Linked DNA regions of Lonchura striata. The protein of the gene in region 2 purifies or fractionates together with the protein of the main gene of each other region. This does not show direct contact. Links are inferred from orthologs where the notes say so. Each region holds a gene or a part of one and is shown on either strand. Other genes may lie near its edges. The genes, in order: ubiquitin-conjugating enzyme E2 E2 and RNF25.

Evidence for each region.
Region 1: the proteins of RNF25 (region 2) and ubiquitin-conjugating enzyme E2 E2 purify together in Homo sapiens (affinity purification with mass spectrometry; 3 studies listed by BioGRID and IntAct, counting the BioPlex papers as one, with this or other methods). This does not show direct contact. The link is inferred for Lonchura striata from reciprocal best matches to the Homo sapiens genes RNF25 and UBE2E2.

What each region holds. Positions count from the first base shown.
Region 1 is NC_134603.1:119,107,027-119,118,525, forward strand, and holds the start of ubiquitin-conjugating enzyme E2 E2, read right to left. Parts: upstream 5,251-11,499; 5' UTR 4,962-5,250; intron 321-4,961; exon of another isoform or gene 316-320; 5' UTR 308-315; coding exon 132-307; intron 1-131.
Region 2 is NC_134610.1:15,673,741-15,685,432, forward strand, and holds the start of RNF25 (E3 ubiquitin-protein ligase RNF25), read right to left. Parts: upstream 4,465-11,692; 5' UTR 4,455-4,464; coding exon 4,417-4,454; intron 4,284-4,416; coding exon 4,209-4,283; intron 4,137-4,208; coding exon 4,034-4,136; intron 3,940-4,033; coding exon 3,872-3,939; intron 3,209-3,871; coding exon of another isoform or gene 3,187-3,208; coding exon 3,117-3,186; intron 2,993-3,116; coding exon 2,921-2,992; intron 2,209-2,920; coding exon 2,068-2,208; intron 1,318-2,067; coding exon 1,228-1,317; intron 728-1,227; coding exon 593-727; intron 478-592; coding exon 1-477. Other genes in the region: STK36 (serine/threonine-protein kinase 36), read left to right, coding at 4,743-4,826, 5,673-5,813, 6,486-6,563, 6,989-7,119, 7,356-7,605, 8,021-8,114, 8,372-8,541, 8,758-9,162 and 5 more. UniProt on the Homo sapiens protein: E3 ubiquitin-protein ligase that plays a key role in the RNF14-RNF25 translation quality control pathway, a pathway that takes place when a ribosome has stalled during translation, and which promotes ubiquitination and degradation of translation factors on stalled ribosomes.

The DNA.
Region 1 (11,499 bases), on a different chromosome or scaffold from region 2:
ACCAGTCTCAAAAGGTTATTACACTGATACAGTAGTGTTATAATAAAACAATCAGAAAATTAATATACTGAGTCAATACATGGATCTGATGACCAGCTGAAAGAAAGAAACAGTCAGGAAGAACACCGTACCTTTTAGCGCTAGTTGACAATTTAGCAGCTGTTTTGCTTGATATTTTCCCCTCTTTTTTCTTTGGTTGAACTTGCTCCCTTTCTTGTTCCTGCTGAGCACCTTCACGCTGATCTCCATCAGAGCTACCTCCACTAGTGCTTGGGCTATCATCCACTCTCTGCCCCTCTGTAGACATGGCAGATGCTGCACTGAACAAAGACAAACAACTGAAGTTAGTTTTTTGAGGAGCAACTGCCTCATTGTATTTCTTACATGCTTAAGGAAAGAACACATGGGATATATGTCTCTGTCCTAACAAAATAATGTTTATATCACAGTAGTTCAATAATCCTCATACTGAAGAGTTTTTGCCACAAACATCTTAACAATAATTCAGGAACTGGCAATTTTAAACCCTATACCACTGCCACCCCCCCAAAAATCCCAACCAACCCACAAACAAATAATACAAACAAACACACAAACCAATCCCCCTGCCAAACTCTTCACAAACACATATATATATGTATGAAAACCAGAAGTTACTGAAGTTAAGTGGGAAACATAATCCTGAAAGTGTAAAACCATTCACTGTGAATTATGTTTTTCAACCACTCAGCAGTGGCATGAGTTAGCTGTCCCATCAACTATGCCACCAGTTCATATCTACCACAGCTAGCTAAAAACGGAGAGTTATTAGTATCTTAGGACTCTCTGTTATCCCATATGAAATAAATTTGTGGGCTCATTCCAAGTGTACAATGTGGGTTTCCACATTACAAAATCCACATCTTGGCATGCTTGATGGAAACACAGAACTAAAAAGCTTTAACACAGGACTGTTTGTATTTACTAAAATAGTGAGCACATTGGTAGAGGATATAACAAAGTTTTTCCTGACATTTCATTCAGGCAACATGAGGCAACAAACTTGTCAGAGAATATGAGCCGTAAGAAATCTCAGCATATTTCAGAAGTCAAGTTGATGCTTTATTTGCACACTTCTGATACTAGTTAGCTATTTTAATTTCTTCCTTCATTTTAAATAGTATAACAATACGCCAACAGATGAGGAATTACAAGCCCGCTGTTACAGCTGTCATGACATCTCAAACTCTCAAACTGTTCTAATGAAGGGCAGATGTCCATGAAAAACTCTTACTGAATTAGCATATCTGGTGGCACTAACTGATTAAAAAAAAAAAAACCAAAACAAACAAACAAACAAACAAAAAAAAAAAAAAAAAAAAAAAACAAAAAAAAAAACCCAAAAACCTAAACCAACAAAGCCAAAACCAAATTAAAACCAAAGTGAAACCCAGGTCTTTCCTTTAACACCAAATCTGTACCTTATACACCTGTGTTACATATCCTTCTCTAGAGATTTTTAATAAAAAGTAGACAGGCCCAAATGTTAACTTGCTTACACCCACACAATCCCTGTATATCTGGGTGGTTTTCTGATCAAATCTGTCTGAACTAAGAATTTGCTCTTTCATACACAAAGAGTTTCAAATTGCTGTGAACTTCGACTCGCTTTTCCTCTTACCTATGTACAGACATCATCACAATTAAGAACAAACCTATTCACCTTGACTATTATGTGTTTTAAGACTCGCTCAAGGGAGAATAATGAGATTTCAGGCTCAGATTCAACCATGCTTGTTCTATGTATTAAACAAAGTTCATCTCCCTGTACATATTTATGGAAAGAGACAGCAAAGGAAAAGTAAATTAATATCAATGCTAATAGGGTTATGTTGAAAAGGATGCTTTTTAAAAAGGCCTAAGTGTTCTTGTTACAAAATAGAAATAAATTTACTCCTATACTAAAAAACCTTGCCAAGATCTAATTCTATCAAATAATACACACTATGGAGCAGAAGAAATAATCTCTTCAGGCATTATTGACACATCCAACTAACTTCAGGAGGAATTAGGTCTTTTTCATCTATCTTGTGAAGCTATACTGAAAAAGAATTCTGGAAGTATGGCACCCCTTCAAAATGTTTATGCATTAAAAGAAACAGCAAGCAATACCAAGTGATGAATATGTGACTAAAGTTTCCCTTCATCGCTTAAGCTGCATTTTTGATTTTATAACAGAAAATAGTATTTTTGCATCTAAATATATATAAACACACAAGACCTAACCTGCTCATTAAAGTAACTGAAATAATCTAGAATTTCTGCCCTAAAATTAAAACATAAGAATTGTCCACTCCTAGAGAACAATTTCTCCTACAGTACAGCTGTAACAATACATTTAACATAGTCCATAAATTTACGCAGACTGATGTTCAGATATTTAAATCCTATTGTGTGATTTCAAGGTAAAGCAGCAGAATGCTTAGAGGTAATAAACAACAAAAGTGTCACATTCTGACAAGTCAAAATATGCAACTTTAATGCAATTTTGGTAGTAAGTACCCATTTTCCTGACTTCTACATAAACCTCATCTCTTTTTATAACACTTATGTTGGCCTTTATTTGCCCTAGATTTTACTTCTGACCTTGCTTAATACATCTAATTTTAAAGAGAAAATTTCTCTCTTCACAATGTACATAGGCTTCAACACTGCAGGCCAGAAAGTTAAAAGCATATTTAATAATACTTATATGCATAGGACATCTGCTATGAATAATCTTGGCTACAAATATTACTATTATCCAAAAAACAACTGTATTCACTTCCTAAGTTCAGGTTACTATCCAGCAGATAAATACTGTAACAGTAGCCCAGAGCATATAATTACTGTAACATGTAACACCAGCATTTACAAGAGGAAAATGTTTAAATCTGTCATTTGATGTCTGGCTAGTTTCTGGCAGGGGTGGGGGGGAGATTTGGGTTTTGGATGTTTTTTTCCCCCCTTTCTCCTTCTGTCTCTGTTCCCCCTTCTGACATCCAGGCAATTATTTCTATTCACTCTCCTCAAAATACCTGCAATTTTAGGGAGTTTTGCTCAAAGGATGCTCAAAATTGCATTAAAACCATGCTTTAAGGGGCCTGAAATTAAACATTTCTAATGGGGTCAAACTTAAAAGACACATAAACATATGACCAAGTAAGAGACTGGGGTAAAAAAAGTCAACTGAGAGGATGACACTGTGAAGAAAACATTTCACTGCCACCAACACAGACAGAAATACAAGATAATCCTTGAATCTGAAGAGCCATAAGTGTGTTTGCAACTGTCACACAGGGCAAGAGGAAAGACACACGATGTCCAGGTTCCTGGCTGCCAGGCTATTCTACATTCAGACAAGGGTTGCTAACCTCCCTGCTGTTGTGCAGAGAAAAATGAGCAGAGGGGACAGAGGAAGGAATGAAAGGGGACTTAAAAGTCTCTCCCTTAACGTGAGATGAATCAGCACCGAGACAGATTACAAGTGTAACTACAACTATCAATTCAAAGTGAAGGGCATCCAAAATATTTTGCTTTTGTCAAATATATCCACGGGCACCTTCCCTTTCCTCCTCAAACTAAAAAAAAAAAAAAAAAAAAAAACAACAATAAAAACAGACAAACCAACAACAATAACAAACCAACAATAAAAACAAACAAACCAAAAACAACAACAAAAAAGAAAAGACAAAAATACCCCAAACCACCAGTCATTATCAGATATCACACGCCAGGAAAAAAAAAAAAAAATCCACCAGTCGGGAACAGCAAGATCCTGGCAACGTGCAGATGGGTCCCAAGGGCGGCAGAGCTAGTGATGATGTCTTTCTAAAGCGCTCGTAATTTCCTATAAGCCAAGATAAATTGAGTATTTCTGCAGGGTCCACCACGAGCAGCAATGGCAGCAGCCGCCTTACTTCATCTTCATTAGAAACCATAAAGGGCAAGACCACAGCATCGCGGGACGGGAGGCAGAAAGAGCCCGGTGTGTTCGCCGCTGAGAAGGGCACCCGGAAGGATGGGATGGGACAGGACGGCAGCTCCGGGCTCCCACGGCCGCGCGTGGGCACGGGAGCGACTCTCCCGTCGGGAATCCCCCGCCGTAGGCAGCGGGTGGGGGCCGCGAGCATCCCCAGAACCACGCACCCCCCGCACTCCCACGGCCGCGCGGGCGGCGGCCGGGCTAGGGTGAGAAGTAGGAGACAACCGAGGAGAGGAGGAGGAGGAGACTGCGAGAGGAAGACGTCGGGGGCACATGCGAGAAGGGAGAGGGCTGGGCTGCGGGGCTCCTTGGGGCGCGGGGGTGGGGGGGGTAGTGCCCTTCCCGGGGGGCTCCAGCCCGGGGTGCCCACCGCTGCGGCGGGGGGCGTGGGGGTAGCGCATCCCAGGAGGCTCGATCGTGGTGGGGGGCAGGGGGTACCCCGGCCCCCCAGGGGCGCAGAGAGTGCCGCGGGGACCATGCGGAGCGGGGCCGGAGGGGTGGTGGGGAGCGGGGGTGGTCGCCGCTCCCGCCCGCAGCAGGGCGAGCAGGACAAATGGACACGGAAGAGTTGCTGAAAGGGTGTGGGGGTGCTGAGGAGCAATGGAGGCTGGATGGAGCCTGGGGGAGCGAGGAGCGCCTCCAGAGATGCCGAGGTGGCCGGGGGCGGCGGGGGGGGCGGCCGGGACGGTTGCTAGGAAAGGGCACAGCCGAGGATGACAAGGGGGGCAAGGGGGTACCAGGCAGCACCAGGGGGATGCGGAGAAGGGAGGGAAGATGAAGGATAAAGGTAGAGACCGAGGATCGCAGATAAATGCGGGGGAGAGGGTGCTGCCGTGGGGGAGGGATGGCGAGCGACATGGGGGTAGGAGCCCGGCGGGGGGAGGGGAGGAGGACGGGGAGCTCAGGCGGGGCAGAGGTAGGTGTACCCCGGCAGAGACGGGGGGGAAGCCGCTGCTACCTGCAGGCGAGCGCAGGTCTCTCTCTCGCTGGTGCCGGGCACAGGCTGCGGGACAATCCGTCGCGGGCGCCCCGACTCCGGCCGGGCGCGGGGCTGGAAAGGGGCTGCAGCCGCTCAGTGAGTCATGAGCCCGCTGCCCCGCGCTCCTCGCTCTCGGCTTCCTCTCCCCTTTGCCGTCTCTCCCGAGCAGCAGCGACGGCCGCGGCTGCTTCTCCCTCCGCCGCCGCTCCTGCCCCCGCTGCCCGGAGAGAAGTGAAGCCGCTGCCGCGCGCGCGCGCGCACCCCCGCCGCCGCCTCCGCGCGCGCGCGCGCCCCCACCCGTCCGCCCGGCGCCGCGCGCGCGCGCGCCCGCCAGCCAATTATTCCGGGCGCTCGCGGGCCGCCGAGGGAGGGGCGGGAGGGCGGGGGCGCGCGCGGCCTCGGCGGGGGAGCGGGGGGGGAAGTGACGGGATGGGCGCGCGGGCGGGCGCGCGTCCGCGGGGGCCGGCGGAGGCCGCGCGCCGCCGGGCAGGGGGGAGGGGCAAGAGGCGGCGGCGGGAGCGCGCGTTAAAGGGAAGCACCGGGGGCTGGGCGGGGTCAGCGGGGCAGAGGAAGAAGGAGGAGGAGGCGGCGGGAGGGGATGGGGTGAGCCGGGACCTTTGGCCAGGGATTCGGGGGGGATGGAGGTGAGGGTACCCGGCCTTTTTCCCTGCCGCCGCCGGGCTGCCGTGGGCCCCCACGCGAAAGTCCGGGAGGTGGAAGGGGCAGGCCGGGACAGGGCAGGGAGCGGCGGAGGCCGGCATCAACTTTCTCGGCTCTTCTCGTCTTTTTCGGCTCCTTTGTTCCCCTCGGCCCCCTCCGCCGCCCCCTCCCCGGTCCCGGCGGCCCGCAGCTCCCCAGCGCCTTTGTCTCGGCGGAGCCGGAGGGAGCCGCCGGCGGGACGCGGCGCTGCCCCGGGCGGGGAGCGGCGCGGTACCTGGGGAGGGGCGGTGCGGGGCACGCGGTGCCTCGGCCGGCCTGCGGGAGGGCCCGGGCCTCGGCACTTGGTGGCCACACTCTGTGTTACCGCGCTAGTTTTGTCCGCCGTGGCATCAGCACAGCCCGGGGCACAAACCGCCCCGGGCCGCCGGCGGCCCCGGTGACGTGCGGTATCCCGGCTGGAGATAGGCGCTGTCGCCCGATTGTGGCCAGGTAAATGAACCTCACCTCCCACGCAGGCGGGCATTGCCTCTGTGGAAAGCATCGCGGTCAGGAATGGGAGAGGCCAAGGCAGAGCCGCACTTAAATGTTAGTTGTTTAGTGCGAATATTAACCTGGAACAAAACAAACCTCCAGCAGAACTGATTGTCAGGTAACCCGGACTGCGCTGGGCGAGTGAGACACTTCTGTCCCTGTGCCGACCCTGCTGCTTTAATCTTTACATAATATGCTTAGGTATGTTATGTAAACTATCACCTCAAACCTTTCTTCCTTAAACAGGGAAATCTACCAGCCAAGGGTAAAGAGGTATTGCCAAGTCAAAATGTTTTCCCTTTTTTAATAACTGCTATAGATAAAAAATTAATCCAGCCGAATTAAAAATAAAAATTGATTTTATTTAGCAATTGAAATCTGTCTGAGCCAGCCACAAAGAAACGGACAGTGCCGAGCCCGGGATCGGCGCTGGGTCAGACAGCTGGGAAGTGGTGCTGACCGCTACAGCAGAGGATCCCCCTATGTTTCGCACCACCTGTTCTGTGCGAGCAACTTTTATATGGTTTATTTTGCTCGAGGCCAGGATTTCAGTGATCAGCCTTTTCTTTCCATTCAAAGTCCCACATATTCATAAAGTCTCTTTTCTCTATGCTGAGTTGAACAATTCGGTGTCCAGGAAGGGAACATGGTATTGAGATGTATCCTTTTGGGTGGTTCCAGTGATTGCAGTCTTGGGTTGTTGTTGGGACCATCATCACTCGGGATTTCCTGGATTACGTTGAGAAACAACCCATCTCCAGATGAACTACATGTATTAACTTGTAATGAGGTCTTATCAGAGACAGATTCAACATATGTGAGGCAAACCCCCTAGTACCGGCTGGTATGCTTTTTTAAATAATACAAAACATTACATCATTATCATTCTACAGGCACAAATTATCTATGTTACACATAACAACAACTAAAGGGGATTAAAAAAATAAAATGTGTTCTCACCATTCCACATGTAGGAGGAAAAGTTTTTCCCTGCTTGAACTGCGAAGCGTTGTATTTTTATTGACTTATGCTTGAGGTGTAGGTGGAGCCTGTGCCACCAAACATACAGAAGTTGAGAACTTGAAGCATTACTGAGATATATTAGGGTTAGAAACATCATTGATACCTGCTCTCGTATTATATCCAGATAACTGAAGTGATTTCTGCAGTTACCCTGAACATCAACAATTTTCTTTGTTGAGAAATTGTTTTTAAATTATTTGGTTTATTTCCTCTTCCTATTTCTTTGCTAAATAATCCCAGTGTTATTTTCACCTAAACCTAAAAATACCACAGTCAGCTAGTTCTTCCTATTCCGTGTGCATTTACAAGATATTTTCTTGCTTGTGATGGAGAAAAGCTCCTAATGTCATCTAGGTGGGTTTCTATCTGCTAAGCATACATTGACTTCTCGGAAGAATTAATAATTAAGTAATTAATAGAATATGAAGTGCAAAAGTCCTTCAAAAAATGCAAACCTCCAGCAAGTAATGTTACTCATTGTGCTGAAAGGTGCATTGTACACTTTTGACATCATGGTTCCCTTTTCTAAAATCACTTAAACCATGCTTTCTCCTTTCAGTCATTTGAAAACAGACCCCCTGAAAGCTATCCAGGAAGTGATAAAATTCAATTCTAAATGATTCTTCTAACCATACTTCCTTAATGTTGCTCTGATGGCTTAAGGGTGCCTTAAAAGGAGGCATACATTGATCTGTCTTAACTCCTCAGCCCATCTCAGGAGGTCTCTCTTTGGTGGCAGTTCATGGTGCTTCATTACAGATCTTTTCTGCTAGGATTTGCAGGAAGCACAGAGAGAAAAGCTGAGTGAATAGCCTAATTGAGACAGGGGCAGGATGGGGCCATACAGTGTCCCAGAATCTGGGTCATAATTTCCCAATGCCAAAATAATCAAGGGAGCGCTGGAGTGTTTGAGCACCGAGTGAGAGGTTTGAGTCATCACGAGTCAGGCCCTGATTTCTTCTTTTGGTGTTTGACCTCTGGCCCAGAGCCCTGAATGGTAGGGCTTAATTTAAGGACAACTAAACTAGGCAGGTTTGTACTGCCTTATGAATAGAAAATACACACTGAGGTGTGCCCTGTTTTAAAAGCAGAGGTTTTGAATGAGCCCTACCTATGTAGTGTAAAGAGAGTAGGGCAGGGTAGTCAGCTGCTCCCGCTTTTATCCTTTTGACCTTTCAAAATAACGTGTTTTGCCCTCAGATGTTAAAGGTGGCATAATATTGCTCAAAATCTTTTGAAGACTTTTCTAAATTTGGATTCTATAGGTTGAATTCTGGCCCTTTTGAAGTGAGTGGCAATACTTCAGTGTTAGATTTCACCCATGCTGGAGTGCTAAGGCACACAGTTACACTTTTTTTTTTTTTCCCTCCATGTTTGGCTTTGTCTGGTTTCTAAAAGCTGACACTATTTACACCACCAGACACATCTAAAGCAAGCAACATGAGTTCTTTACTCTCATAGAGACTGGGAGCTTCCTTGTGGAGACACGCCAGAGTTCATCTCACCTAGCACAGGCAGTCATGCTTTAAAACTATTATGGTTAAGGACACTTTTGTTAAGGGTTCTTGATTTGAGTGTCTGTTACAAGGGCAGATATGTCAGTCAAAATCTATGAAGTTGGAGAAACCTGAGCAAAGTTTCCATTTAGAAGTGTTTAATTTAAAGAAGTAATAGATCTATTTAAATTTTTCAGGTTTTTAAACTTTTTTTTGCTATACTGAGAGCTGTACTCAGTTACAGTGAGTCTTATCCATTTCTGTTTAGTTAAAAAAACAGGGAAATATCGTTCCATGTCAAGAAAAGAAATAGGAAAATGCAACTTTTGAGTTTTTTCTGCATTTCTATTTATGCATTACTGTTCATTCCCATTTAAAAGGACATGTTTTTATATCACTGTTAAAGTCATTGAATGAACGCTATTGTCAAGTAGTAACTAGAAAAAAGGGTTTGATTTTCTAAGGTAGAGAAAAGATGAGAAATCATCTCAGCTGTGGTATAGGTGAAGACATAACTATCTCTCTTGTGACAGCATATCTCTCTTTCAAAACTTTATTATTTTATATTAAAAAGTGAGATGATAATATTAACTTGTCCATGATGTGTCTGATTGTTACATCAATCTTTTTCAGCCAAGTCCTAATGAGCCAGTTTGTTTAATCCATCTGAACTATTATCAGCAGAAGTTTGGAGGAATGGGGACAAAGGTGCCTTTATTCATTTCTTACCTGATTCCAGCTCCAGCTGTTGAAGCCTGTGTTGTTCCCCCCATCCCTCCCCTGCTAGGAGTTGGGCCCTGTGGGGCTGTTTGGATAGTGGACAGCAGGCAGCTCTCAGCAGCAGGTCCTCTCTTTCCCAGTCTGGTTCTCCATCCTGAGCACAGAATGAGGAGTTTCTGCAGTAGCTTCATGCTGTTCCAGGATTCTTCTCCCATAGCTGGTTTTCCTTAAACTACTATGATGACATAAATCTGTGAGGACCATTCAGAGGATCTAGCCTGTTGTCTATTTTTCCCTCTTTGGTAATTCTCTTTCTCCTATTTGTAGATAGTTTATTCTCACACTATATCTATTTTTTTTTTTTTCTACAATTGTACTTTGCTTTTGTTGCTGCATGGATGAATCCTACTCTGTCTGTTGGCAAATGTAAACTGAAATTCACAGGTACCCTGATCTCTGAAGTGCCAGCTGTGTTTGAAAATGCAGTTTCTGAGTGATTCAGAGATAAGGATTCTTCTTTTTGTTTCTCTTCTATCAGCGTGTAGAATAAAGTGGCATAGCAAGGAAGATATCTGCAGCAGAAATTTACTTAAGAGTTTTCAGTTAATTGTGTATGTCCTCATCATATAAAAAATGGCATCCTATATCAAGGAAAACATTGATTGAATCCTGAAAACTAAGTAAGCCTATTGTTCAAACAATGCCTTGACAGAAGTCTGTTTAAATTATTTTCATGGCATTCTGAAGTAAAATGATTGTGTGAACACAGAGGCAAGTTACTGCTAGCCTGACTTCTTTATTTGCTCTACAATACTGCAAACCCCCAAATCATTAGCATTTATTCACTCTAATATTTCCAGGCCATTAAATACAAAAGGAGTTGTAAGTTGTGTGGCAAACAGCTTTTAAGGTCTCTTTCATTCCAGCCTAAAAAACGAAGAATTTGCAGCTCCTCCTCCCCTTTGCTCAGAAGCAGAACAGCTCCCACTATCATTCGGCTGGAACCAGAACAAACAACTGAGACAATAACCGTGTGGCATCAGAAATCCTGGTGGCTCTCAGCTGCTTTGCTATCCAGGATTGTAAAGAATAAAGATAAAACATATTAGGAGTGGGTAGGAGGGAGGTAATAACCTGCTTCCGTGTCCTTAATGAAAGCCTGTATTTTTGTTTAAGGTAGGGAGGGAATAAATTAACTGCATAATGTCCTGAACAGAGGTTCGTTTCTATGTGCTGGTTTAGAGCCTCAGTTAGAGCCTAAGTGCAAGTAATTGCATAGGATAATTCTGTGATAGTTTCTACACAGAAATTGTTGACAACTAAATCCTAGACATAGCCACTGCTTTAAAAATCTCATATTGCATGTACTGAAGGGAAAAATCTTTATTTCCAGAGCTATTGTAATGCACTGACCTGTAACTGGAAGAATTCCCTGCATTGCCTGTCTTAATTCATCACCATATGTGGGAGAGAATGTTGAAAAGTGAAGATAGGTTAGAAAAGAAAATTGGGGTGTTTTAGTTGTTACTTCCACACTCTCTTCAGCACCTCCGCGTTCCTATTATTTTCTGTTGGTTTCGTAATATCTTAATTCACAGAATCAGAGCTTGGTTTTCTGATTAAAGATGGGTAAAATTCTGAGGATCTCTTGTGGTTCTGTTGGGAAAGTTACATCTTTACACTGAAAAAGAAGCCGTGGGCACTCATGTTCCCTTTTAATAAAGTTAAGGTTCCAGAAGAATGTGGGCTAATGTTCTCTATGTTTAATGCATTATTAATGCATGCCTAGGGAGTAGGCTCTGCATCCTCCACAGCAAACCAAACCCCATAAGCAGGCTTGTTCAGTCCCTTCAATAAGAGTGACCAAATAAATTTCAGGAACCCAGAGGACCACAATCAATCTGAAGCAGATTGTCTGCCTCGTATACGGTGGAAAATACCCGCATGTTCTCTACCGGGGATTCCCCCAGTGAAGTGGAAGTCCCCTGAACTAATAAGTCAGACTAGTCACATTTTGTACTTGCTTCCTGAAAATCCCAGCCAAAGAGCCTGATCTCTGCTGTAATTGGAAGGGATGAAGGGGAATG
Region 2 (11,692 bases):
TTCCATGTCATGGTGCTCCTCTTTCAAGTCCACAGTTTCTGCTGCTGGTGAGGGGTCTTCACGGCACAGCTCCCTTCTTTCAGCCAAGGGAGCAGCCCTGCTTCTACTGGGAGGCTTTGAAAACTGGCTGTGCCGTCCAGCAGGTCTATGCTCTGCTCTCTGGCTGAAGACCCTGGGCCCCCTGGAGCTGTGGAGTGGATGACAGGCTTCCTCTCCTGGTTCCTGCAAGCTACTGCACAGCTGCCTGCCCCGGCCTCTGGAGCCTGGCCTCTCCCCTCTGTGCCTCTCCCTCTTGCTCAGCTGCTCTCTGGGCACAGCACATCTCTCAGGCTGCCCGGGTTCCACCCTGGCCTCTGACGCCCCTGCTGGCTCGGGAGCCGAGGCTTGGCTGGACGGCTGGGGCACGTCCGCAGCACGGGCACTCACCGACAGCTCAGAGGCAGTGGCTGCTTGGCCTGTATCCACAGCAGCTGGAGGCTGAAAGAAAAAAGCTACTGGTTAAGAAAAGGAGAGGGGTGTCCCACAGCAGATGACAGTGCTTGGTCCTGTAGCCCAGAGCCCCCTCAGAAGCTCTCTGCCCCCAGTGCCGTACCGCCTGGAGGCTGATGAAATATCGGTTCCTCTCTGCCTCAGGGTCGATGATTCCCCCTTTCTCTTGCTGTCTCTTGAAAATCAGGCGCAGTTCTTCCTGGTGCTGCAGCACCTTGGCATCTGGCCTGTATGGCTCCTGAGCAGAAGAAAGCAAGGCAAGGTAAGGGCTCTCTCAAAACCTAGCATGGATAGGCAGTGGCAGGGCTGGGAGCTACTCCCCAAACCCTTCTTTGCACAGTGCCAGGCAGCCTGCTTCTTTCTGCCACACTGACCAGGTCTGCAGATGAATGGGAAATCCCTGAACAGAAGCCAAGCATCCCAGTGCAGACCCACTGTTTCTGCAGTGACTGCCTTGGGCCATCCTGCTGTGGGGCAGGATGCAAAGCAGCTGCTATCAGGTCACTCTCCTGACCTGATTGTTTCCCAGTGAGTGCAGGGATGTTCCCCATGGCAGAACCACCTCTCCCTCAGCACATCTGCTCAACTCAGGGCTATCAAACTGAACCTGCTCTGTGAGCTGCCCTTTGAATAGGCAATCTAGGAGGACTTGATAGAGAGTGTGCATGCATTACAATGTCCCAGTTGAAGCTACCCAGTGAGGGGGCACAGCTGGGCAGGTGAGCCCCCATCTCTTACCAGAGGGTGCTGCGGGGGCGGTGCTGCCTTCAGAGCACAGAGATCGTAAACCAGGGTCTCCCGGCAGACAGGGCACTGCACACCAACTTCCTGTGGAGAGGCAAAAGATGATAGCAAACCCTGTCTGTGATCCAGCTCATGCACTGCCCCATAACCCCACCCTGGAAGTGAAACAGGGTTGTCTTCTTCACTCTTCTGCCAAGGTAAGGAAGCCCAGAGGGGTTCCAGCAGCATGAAAGCAGCCTGGTGTCTCAACAACTGCTATGGAAGGTGTCTCCATATAAGACATGCTGGGATTTGTACTCCAGCAGCTGACTGCTTTACAAAGCACCCCTGTCAACACATATGGCTTCAGCCCGCAGCCTAGGATGTATTTTTTTGTGCTCCAAAGCGTAGTGTGTCATCAAGGCAGCACCTCCTTGGAAGGGTTTGTGGGAAGGAGTCTTTGATTGTTCCATACTCAGCTGTGCTGTTTGCTCTGCAGCTGACAACTGTTCCAACCCATGCTAGGCAGGTATTATCACCCCAAAACACAGGTGATTTGTGTTTACTCTGCTGCAACCCCCCACAGTTCAAGGACAAGGATTAGGACTAGGGAAGGAGCGAGCCCTTTTTTCTAACTTCTGTGGTTGCAGAAGTCTAAAAATGCAACTGCCTTACCCCCTCACACAGCAGGCACTGTCCCAGAGATTCAATAAACCAACTTGTTTGGTCAGAAAGGGCCCTTGGAGATAACTTAGTCTAATCCCTGTGATTCTCAGCACAGGCTCCATGTGCCAAAGAGGGTGATACAGATGTTAAAAGGGTCTGTGCAGGGGGCCAAGGAAGGAGGCCCAGTACCTGTTTAGGGGATGGTGCAAGGTGCTGCCCTCTCTCCTCCTGCTGCATGAGGATCTCCTCCTCCATGTGCTGGGCGTAGCGGGCCAGACAGTGGGAGTGGAAGTAGTGGTAGCACTGGGTCTTTGTGAAGGCTTCTTTCTCCTGTCAAGAGAAAAGGGCATCTTTGAAGGATTTCTATGCAAAGAGTTGTGCAACCACACAGTTGAGCTGGGTTTTCACTTTCATGTCAGTGGTATCCATGGGGAATTAGTGCTAGCAGAGCCGCCCAGCATCATCTGTTGGGCTGCACCTCCACTCCTTCAGCAATTACTGGGATGCTGCTTCTTGTTTCAAATGTTAGAAACACTCCTAATGTCAATATGCAAAGATTTTATGACTGATTTTTCTGTATGTGTTCCTGTGTAACCAGCAATCTTCCCACTTGATGTGTTCTCCTTCCTAGGCAGGTGTTGACTTCCCTTGCAATCTGGTAAGGCCTGCTCCCCTATCCCCACAGACCTTAGCACCTGGATAGATATGTTCTAGTCCCTCCTGACCACCTGTGTGCTGAACTCATGGTGAGGTGTAGCCAACACAGGGAAGCTGAAATGCATCACCAACTAGCCCCAGAGCCTACACTTCCTTGGAGATGCTCCAGCATCTCTTGCTGCCCTACGTCCATTTTCTGTAGAAGATTATCTAGAAATTTATGGGAAGAGCAGCATGTATTGCACTAGGAAGGGCCCTGTGCAGAATGGGAGGCAGTGGGCTGCTGGTGTACATCTTGGTCCCAGGCTGATATCCCAGTGTCAGACTTCCTGTTCTCTTGCCTCACTTCCCAGTCAGTTTGTGGGGTCAGGAGACACATGCCTACCTGGAATCCATAGAGGCAGATTACACACTGTCCTTGAGGAATATTGTTGTCAGTGAGGATCTCCTTTCCCTTCTGTGAAAACATTAAAGCAAACATTTTACTCACTGGCCTGTCCATGGGCTCAGGGATGTCCCACCCCTTGGGAAGTCAGGGATCAGTGTCTGTGGCTGGTCACACCCAATCTCCTCACTCTCACCTCAATCAGTTCATAGAGCACCTCTGTCCCCAGCCTGGCTTCAGCAACACTTCTGAGGGTCTGGGAAATCCTACAGCAAAGCAGCAGAAATCCTTAACACAAATTTAGCCACACTTTTCACTGTCCCACGTACTTGCCATGATGACGGGAGGAAAATAGGGAGCACGGTCTTCAGGCTTTGCATGGAGTACAGGATGAGCACACATGTATTCATGTGTGTTCCTGGCTCACCACAAGCCAGTGCACAGGAAGCCTATGTTATTACAGAACTTGCAGGAGCAGGTTTGCTGATAGCCTCAGCTTGAGCTCAACCAGCAACCTTTGGTTTTGGTGAATCCCAGGTTTTGTTTATCTGACAGCAGCCCCTGAGGAGGTCTGTTGGGAGCCATGTCCTCTCGTACTGCCGGCAGGCACCAAGGTCTCTGCACACATTCCATTGTGCCAAGGGCCAAAGCACAAATACAACAACGGGCTGCCCAAGGACTCGGATCAATCCCACATCTGTCAGGGCAGGACCAGCAACTTTCAAGGCCCCAGGGATTCCAATAAGATTTGAGGGGAACCACAGGGTAATAACCACAAGGTGGACCCCTCTGTGTCAAATTCGGCACCAGTGGCTCCTGAAAGATTTAGGACAAAGTGATTTAGGGACCTGTATCCATATGTTAACCAGACACAGGAAGTCATGTGAATTAGAGAAGGCTTGTCCATCAGTTCTGCCTCCTGAATCTCGGGAGGAAAGAATTGCCACTCACTTTTGAATTTGCTCATCTGACAGCCCCCGCGGATTCCTGATGGAGATCTCCGGAGCTTTATCAGGATACTAGGATAAAAGAGAAACAGCCAAAGCACAACAAGGAAGGTGGAGAGGCCCGAGGCTCGGAGGTGCGGGGGCCCGGGGGGCGCGGGCAGCCTACCTGCGGGGGCACGGAGAGCACCAGGGTGAAGCGCACGTACTGCGAGTCCTGGTCCTGGGCCGTGGCAGGGTACAGGGTGATGCTGATCTCCCAAGGCTCCCACCTGCAGAACGGGCAGATCGGGGTGAGGAGGGCGGCGCGGGGCCGGGCCGCGGATGGGGAGCGCGGGACGTACCTGCCCAGGCCCCGCGCCACCTGCAGCTCCTCCAGGTAGATGGACTCCAGCACCTCCACCTCCGGCGGCAGCGCCCTGCGGGAACCGAGCAGGCGGGGGTCAGACGGCTCCGGCGGGCTGGGGGTGCGGGACAGCGGGGGTGCGGGGGCCGGGAAGGTGCGGGCACGTGGGAGGGCGCAGAGACCGGGGAAGGTTCGGGGGCTGTTACCAGTCCGTCGCCTCCGCCTCCCCAGCGGCCGCCGCCATCTCGCCGCCCGCCCGGAAGCGGAAGCGGCGAGCCGGTTGCCAGGAGACGCCGCGGCGGCGGGCCCGGGCCGGCGGCGGAGCGGGGCGAGGCTCGTCCCGCGGCGGGGTCGCTGCCGCTGCTGCTCGGGGCTCGTCCTGCCTTGGCGCCGGTGGGTAGGAGCAAAGCCTGGGGCGCGGGGGGACGACACTCGCCCGGGGGAACGGGCGCGGGGTGCAGCCCCGCGGGAGGGGACGCGCTGCCCCGCACTGGCCTCTTTGCCTCGCAGCTCAGCGGCCCCGTCCCGAGCGATGGAGAACTACCACATCCTGGAGATGATCGGCGAAGGGTCCTTCGGGCGCGTGTACAAGGGGCGCCGGAAGCACAGCGCCCAGGTGAGGGGACAGGGCTGGGGCTCTGCTGTGTGTGGCCGGGGCTGATTTCTGGTGCCTCTCGGCTTCTAAGGCTCTGCCAGGATTTTGGGACTCGGCATTCCTTCGGCTTTCTGCTGACGTTCCTGACCAGCTCCAGCTGGCACTAAGTCATCCGGATTCAAGGGACTCAGGAGCGACTTCAAGACCTCAAAGCAGAGCCAGCACTAAATTTAGATCCTCTGAAACCCCCAAGACAAACACCCCATAGCTGATGCCTGACTATTTCTAGGATGATTCTGCTACCAAATTGAACCTCCCTCCGTTTCAATTTGTAATTCCCATGTCGTCCTCCCAAATGCTTCAGTCCCCTCACCATCATGGGCCTCTCTGCTATACCCATTCCCTCCTATTGATGTTCTGGGCCAAAAACCTGGCCACAATATTCCCAACATGGTGCACAAGATTAGAAATAAAGGTCAGTAATCACTTTGCTGCGGTTCCTGCCTGTTGATACAGCCCAGGGTGCTGCTACTGTTCCTCATTTCCAGGGCACACTGCTGGCTCATGTTAGGCCTGCTGTTCACCAGCATCTTGAGGTCCTGTCCCATGTTTCTGAAGTTTATCTGTGTTCACTGGTTACATTTCTTTGCTTGAAATGCCAGTGTGAAAAGAGGTGTGAGCATCAGTGAGCCTAAGTGAGCATAAGTGAGCCTAGGGAGACCCCTAGGTCCAAAGGCCCAGTGAACAAATGTCTCATTGTTCTGTTGTCTGTGTTCAGCTGGAACCCTGTTTGGGTTAAAAGCAGCCTTTGCCAGTGTGGGTCTGACCAGGAGTCTGGTCTGATCCCAGCTTTTCCTGCTTTGAAAGGTGGTGGCCTTGAAGTTCATCCCCAAGGTGGGGCGGTCCGAGAAGGAGCTGAAGAACCTGCAGCGGGAAATTGAGATTGTGAGAGACCTCCATCACCCTAACATCATCCAGATGCTTGACAGCTTTGAGACTGCTAAGGAGGTGAAGGGGATTACTCCAGGCAAAGACTTTTGCTTGACTGGGGCAGGTGAACAAGTACTGTTCCCTGCTGTTGTAGGGACATCTTTCTCAAGAGATGCTGGTGACTTCATACCAGGCTCTGGTTAGTGTTTTTCAGAGCCCTTTAGTATGTGCCATGTGGGGAGCCAACACCTGTATGGGCTGCACTAGGTCATATGCAGAGGTGAAGGAGCTGACCAGGTGCTGTGTGGTGCAGGAGGAGTGGTTTGAGATCACAGGATGAGGGTCACTCTTCACTCATCACTCTCTTCAGAGACTGGCTTTTCACTGATTTAAACTCACATGGATATAATATGATAAGAGAGGATTGAAGACTGTCCTATAGCACATGGGAACGTGAAATAAAGTAATTGGACAGCAGATTCAAAACAAGCTCAAGGAGTGATTCTACCCACTGGGCTTGGCAGTGCCATTCTGGGCTTGTCTTGTCCTTCCCTCTTCCCTTGTTTTTGCTGGCTGAGATATGGACAGCTACAAGATCTCTGCCAGCTATGGGAGCTCTCTTCCATTCCAAGTCCCAGCCCAAGCTGATGGAATTTGCATGATGGCACCCCAACACCTTCCCGCAAATGTGTTACCCTGCTTTGTTCTGGTCCCCAGGGCCTGATCTCACCATGTTGTTCTTCTCTCCAGGTGGTGGTAGTGACTGACTATGCAGAGGGAGAGCTTTTCCAGATCCTGGAGGATGATGGGAGTTTGCCTGAGAGCCAGGTGTCTATCACTGCAGTGGCCATGCAGTGTTTGCTGCAGGCTAGAGAAAACAGGACTTGTGTGCCTGCAGGAAGAGGGTCTCTGCTGTGAGCCAGGAGTGTCAGGAGGGTGAGGGTGCCTCTGGGACTTTACCTGGCAGATCTTCTGAAAAGCATCGAGAAGGGGCCAGGTTGGCATTGTGGGACAGTGGGGTCCTGCAGAGACCTCAGTTTCTCTGTTCCCTTTACAAGGGCCACAGCACTAGACTGCCATGGCTATTGACCCACTCCAAGAAACTACTGGCCCACAGCTGGGGATGATCCCTGCCCCAAACAGGACAAAAGTAGAAGTAGTGTGGGAGCCAGGCTGTAAGGGACCTAGCCCCTGTGGTTGTGCCAGCGGGTGGCACCATGGGACACAGGGTGAGGCTTCTGTGTCTCTGGCAGGTCCAGACCATAGCTGCCCAGCTCATCTCTGCTCTCTATTACCTGCACTCCCACCGCATCCTGCACCGGGATATGAAACCCCAGAACATCCTGCTGGGAAAAGATAGTGTTGTCAAGCTCTGTGACTTTGGGTGAGTGCTGGAGGCCAGCTTGAGGGGAATGCTGGTGCTTGGAGCAGCCAAGGGGTTTCCTGAGTGCTGCAGAGGAGGAGTGAAGGAGTGCGGAAGAGGGCCTGGGTTCTGTGCATATTTAGAAATTAGGCAGAGAGGGGAGATTTTGTCCTCCAGAGGAGGATAAACTCATAGGGAGCTCCCTAAGATCTGCAACTGATGTTTCAGCCTGAACTTTAGATCTGTACTTTGAGCAGGTTTGCCCGTGCCATGAGCATCCACACCATGGTGCTGACATCCATCAAGGGCACCCCGCTGTACATGTCCCCTGAGCTGGTGGAAGAACGGCCGTATGACCACACCGCAGACCTGTGGTCAGTGGGCTGCATCTTGTATGAGCTGTTTGTGGGCACTCCTCCCTTCTACACCAACAGCATCTTCCAGCTTGTCAGCCTCATCATCAAGGACCCTGTCAAATGGCCTGTGGACATGAGCCCAGTGTTCAAGGTAAGGGCCGAGGCCCTGTCTGCAGGGTGAGATCTGTTAATGCAGTTTTGGCCTCACCTGCTTCCCTGGTGGGTCACTCTTAGGTTTTATGTCCCCTAACAGTGACTTCAGAACACAGAAAAGCTGTGTGAATGAGAGCTGGATCTCCTGGAATGGGAATCCTTATCACTGTTATCAAATGTCTGCTGTCTATGAGCTGGGAAACTGGGTCCAACAGCAGAGGAGTGATTTAGTGGGTTACGAAGGGAAATGTCTTGCCATCTGCCCTAAGCACTAGAGCTACTCCTTTCCCAGAGCTAGGCAGGAAAGGCAGGCCTCCTGGGTGCCCTCAGTGAGGGAGACTGATTGGGTACACTATGCTCACTGGTGGGTGCTGAACATGTGTCAGTGATCCTGCTGCTCCGCTGCTCTGCAGAGCTTCCTTCAGGGACTACTAATGAAGAACCCCCATGAGCGTCTGTCATGGCCAGAGCTACTTTCTCACCCCTTCATTGCTGGATGGGTTACTGGTAAGTACTTAGTCCTTTTCCAAAACTGTCCAGGTCTGTTTCCTTCTACTACTGTCTGGAGACTGGGAGGACCTCCCTGCCCTGCCATTTCTCACTATCCTGGTCTATGCCTCTCTCCTCTCAGCTTTTTCCAAGCACTGACTCCTAGCTCCTGCTCTTGGTCTTGCTCTGGGTTCCTTAGGATTCCCCTGGGATCTCAAGAAAGATCACGCTCTCAAGAGAGAGCTGCTGCTGAAGTTCTCCTCTTGCCTCCCCAGTGACTGATGACACAGAAAAGCATGGGATTTCAAACCCCTTTACCGTCAAGCTATCTCCAGAGCTGCAGGCCCTGAAGGAGCAGCAAGTACATTCCATGGCCCCCAGGAGCAGCCAGTCCAGGATCTTGAGAAAGGCCCAGAAGAAGATGGTTGAAGAGACACAGAAAAAGGTGGAGTAAAGTGTGAGGTTCCTCATGCTATGTCTCACAGTCAGAGCAAAGGAAGGACACTGAAGTGGGCCCTGGGGGAAAACACATGAGTACATGGGTCAGGCTGGGGTGTCAGCAACACACAAGGCAGGATGTGGAGTGCTTATGGTAGTGGAATCTAGAGGACTCATCTGACTGAGTAACCCTGCCCTGACCAAACTTCTCTGCCATCACCAGGGGCAACTGAAGGCAGGTGATGCATCTATGAAGGTTTCTGCCAATGGACATCCCACACATAGTCCCAGAGCAGCATCACGGAAAGCAGTCCCTGAGGAGAGGGAGCCATTGGCTGTCTCCAATGAGAAGAACCCATGTCTCCTGCAAGGAAAGAACAGCAGAGCAGAGTGGGAGTCTGAGGAGTCTCCTCCTATCCCAGGGAGAGAGAGGCACAGGCTGGGAGAGAAGGAAGAGGGGAAGGAAAGGTCTTTCACTGACTGTACTGTTTCCTTGGCCAGGCAGCACAACCTCTCTCAAGACTGTGAGTGGGAGTTTCTTGGAGCAGGTTCCCCTTCACAGCCTGGTGCTGGCAGGGCAGAGCCCTGCAGCAGGCACAGCACTGAGGCTGTGGACCTGGAGAGTGAGGTAAGATGGTGTCTTGAGTGAGGACAGCAGGGCCCAGTTTCCAGGGGCTGGTACAGAGACCCTGGGACTGGCAGGGTTTGTGGCACCAGTCCTCTCTCTTCTGTGGCTAGGAGTTGGAGAGTGATGAGGAGTGGCAGCACCTGATTGAGGACACTGAGCCCTCAGCCATGCAGCTGAGTGTGCCTCTGAGCCTCCTGAGGGACTCGGCTTTCCAGCACCGTGTCCAGGACCACCTGGCAGCCTCTGCTCAGCAGGTAAATGATTGCTGGCCCAGGCAACTAAGACTGGAGACTTGGATGCTGCCTTGTTTATCAAGATTAGGTTGGAAACATATGGAGAATCTTCAGCCCAGCCAGCAAAAAGATCCTCTGCTTCTCCGGGAGTTGGAGCTGTCTTGTGCACTTGGCTTGCCATCTGCTCCTCTGCTGTCCCCTGCCTGAGTGGGTTGAAGGGCTGCTTCATGGCTGGTGGAGACACCAAAATTGCTGCTCATTATAAGCTCTTCTGGCTTCTCTGTGTCCAGGTGCTGGAAGGGATGCTGGAGGGAGCCTCCCATCTTCGTTCTGTGCTTCGTGTTATTGGCAACCTCCTGTCTACCCGGTGTGATGCTGAGCTGCTGGACCACTTCTGCCAAGAGCTAAATGTGCCTCTGTCCCTGCTGTGTCTAGCCAAGCAGATCCTGGAAAGTGGTGTAACCAAGCAGGTGAGTGTAGAACCCCAGGGAAATGTGGGCGCCTGCAGAGTGCTGGTGCTGAGGAGGCCCTGGTGTCCTGCTGGACCTGGTTCCTCTTCCAGGCATCCTTGAGAAGGGGGAGGTTCTGGTAGGGAAGGATCCTGTCATAGAGTTGTGGGGATGGCCAGCAGACAATCCCCATTTATGGTTTCTTTCTGGATTCTGCAGCAGCCCTGGTGTATCGCTGTGCTGACAGACCTCCTCGTGGTGACCAAAGTTTGTTTCAGTAGCCTAGAGGAGAGTGGGCAAAAATACAGGTAGGGAAAACCTCCTGTTCCCTGAGGTCTTGTGTGGTCACTTTGGGGACCTGGCAGTAGGTGGAAGGGTGGTGTTCATACTCTGCAGCTGGAGTTGTCTCTGTGGGGAAGCATTATGGTCTAAGCACTTCATGCTGTATTGCTGTGCTCACAGAGGAGCACTTTCCTTGAATGGGATTAATTCAAGGAAAGGCACAGTTGACAAGTCCAGTTGTGCTGCCTGCTGGCAGCAGCTCACAGTGTGTGTGCTGCCTGCTCCATTAGCCAGGGCCATGTGGGCCTTCCCTCAAAGCAAGGGGCCATGTTTCTCTGCACTCATCTGCCCTTGCTGCCCCCCACAGACTGCAGACCATCCAGGAGAGTGCTGACTGCTTCCTGGCCCTGCTGCCGGAGCTGCTAGCTGTGCCAGCTGACAGTGAGATGAGACTCTGCCAGCAAAGCCTCCTGGTAAGAGTGCCCCCATCTCCCTCCTCCACACCCTCTGCCCTCAGGGACAGAAGTTATGGGGTTGTCAGTGTATGTTGGGGGAATACAGCCTGAGCACCCTGCTCCTAACTATGGGGTCTGATGCGTTCTTGTCAGGGCAAGCTGTCTCACCCACTGGGGTTTTAGCAGGGAATTGCATACAAAAATAAGGTCTCTGAGGGAGCACCTTTGCTGGCCTTAACATTCTAGTGTGGCTTTACTGGCTGAGCTGATGGCAGATGCAGCCCCTTGTACACACTCTGGCACAAAAAGTGTCATTTCACCAGACATATCCCTGGCTCTGCTGCCAAGAGTTCTGCTGCTGGGATTGTGCTGGGTGGGCACAGCGGGGTCTCAGCACTGGAGTATGATTCACATGTGGCTTGGTCAGGAGATGCATACAGGCATTTGATATCTTCTAGCCTTTGTTTTCAAGCTGCATGTTTTAGTGCCAGAGTCAGTAAGAGCAAAAATAGCTGTTGGGCATGCTCTGCCAGGCTGTGATAGAGATGAGGAGGGACATGTGCCTCCATGTGTACCCCTCACTTCATGCAGCCAGATGTCGATCCCATACAGAAACCTGTCTGGAGTGGACAGAGTTCCCTGAAGTTCCAGCATGAATTCTTCTCCCATCTCTGCTGTCTTCCCACAGCTTCCTCCTGTGCTGTCCTTTTCTTTCCTCTCAAACTCAGTCTGCAGTGATGGCAATCCCTGTGTCTTCCCCAGTGCTTTACCCAGCTCTGTGAGAGCCTGGACATGACAGACACCTCTATCTCTGCACACTTCTACACCAAACTGCAAGACGAGCATCAGCCCCTGCTGAACAGACTCCTTCAAGGATCCATCTCAGAGCAGCCTGCTCTTCGAGGTAGCAGTGGTAGCAGCTCGCCACCTCTTCCTGGGGTTTCTTCTCCTTCCTGCCCTTGGGCTCCATCAGAGCTCTAATGGCCATTGTAGTGCTGCTGGCCAGGAGAGGCTGAAACTTACCTGTCCAGACCCCTGCTAATTTAGGCTCTCTTCCCTCAATCCCAGATTGCACCCTCCTTATGTCACAAGCCTGAATTTTTCTCTCTTG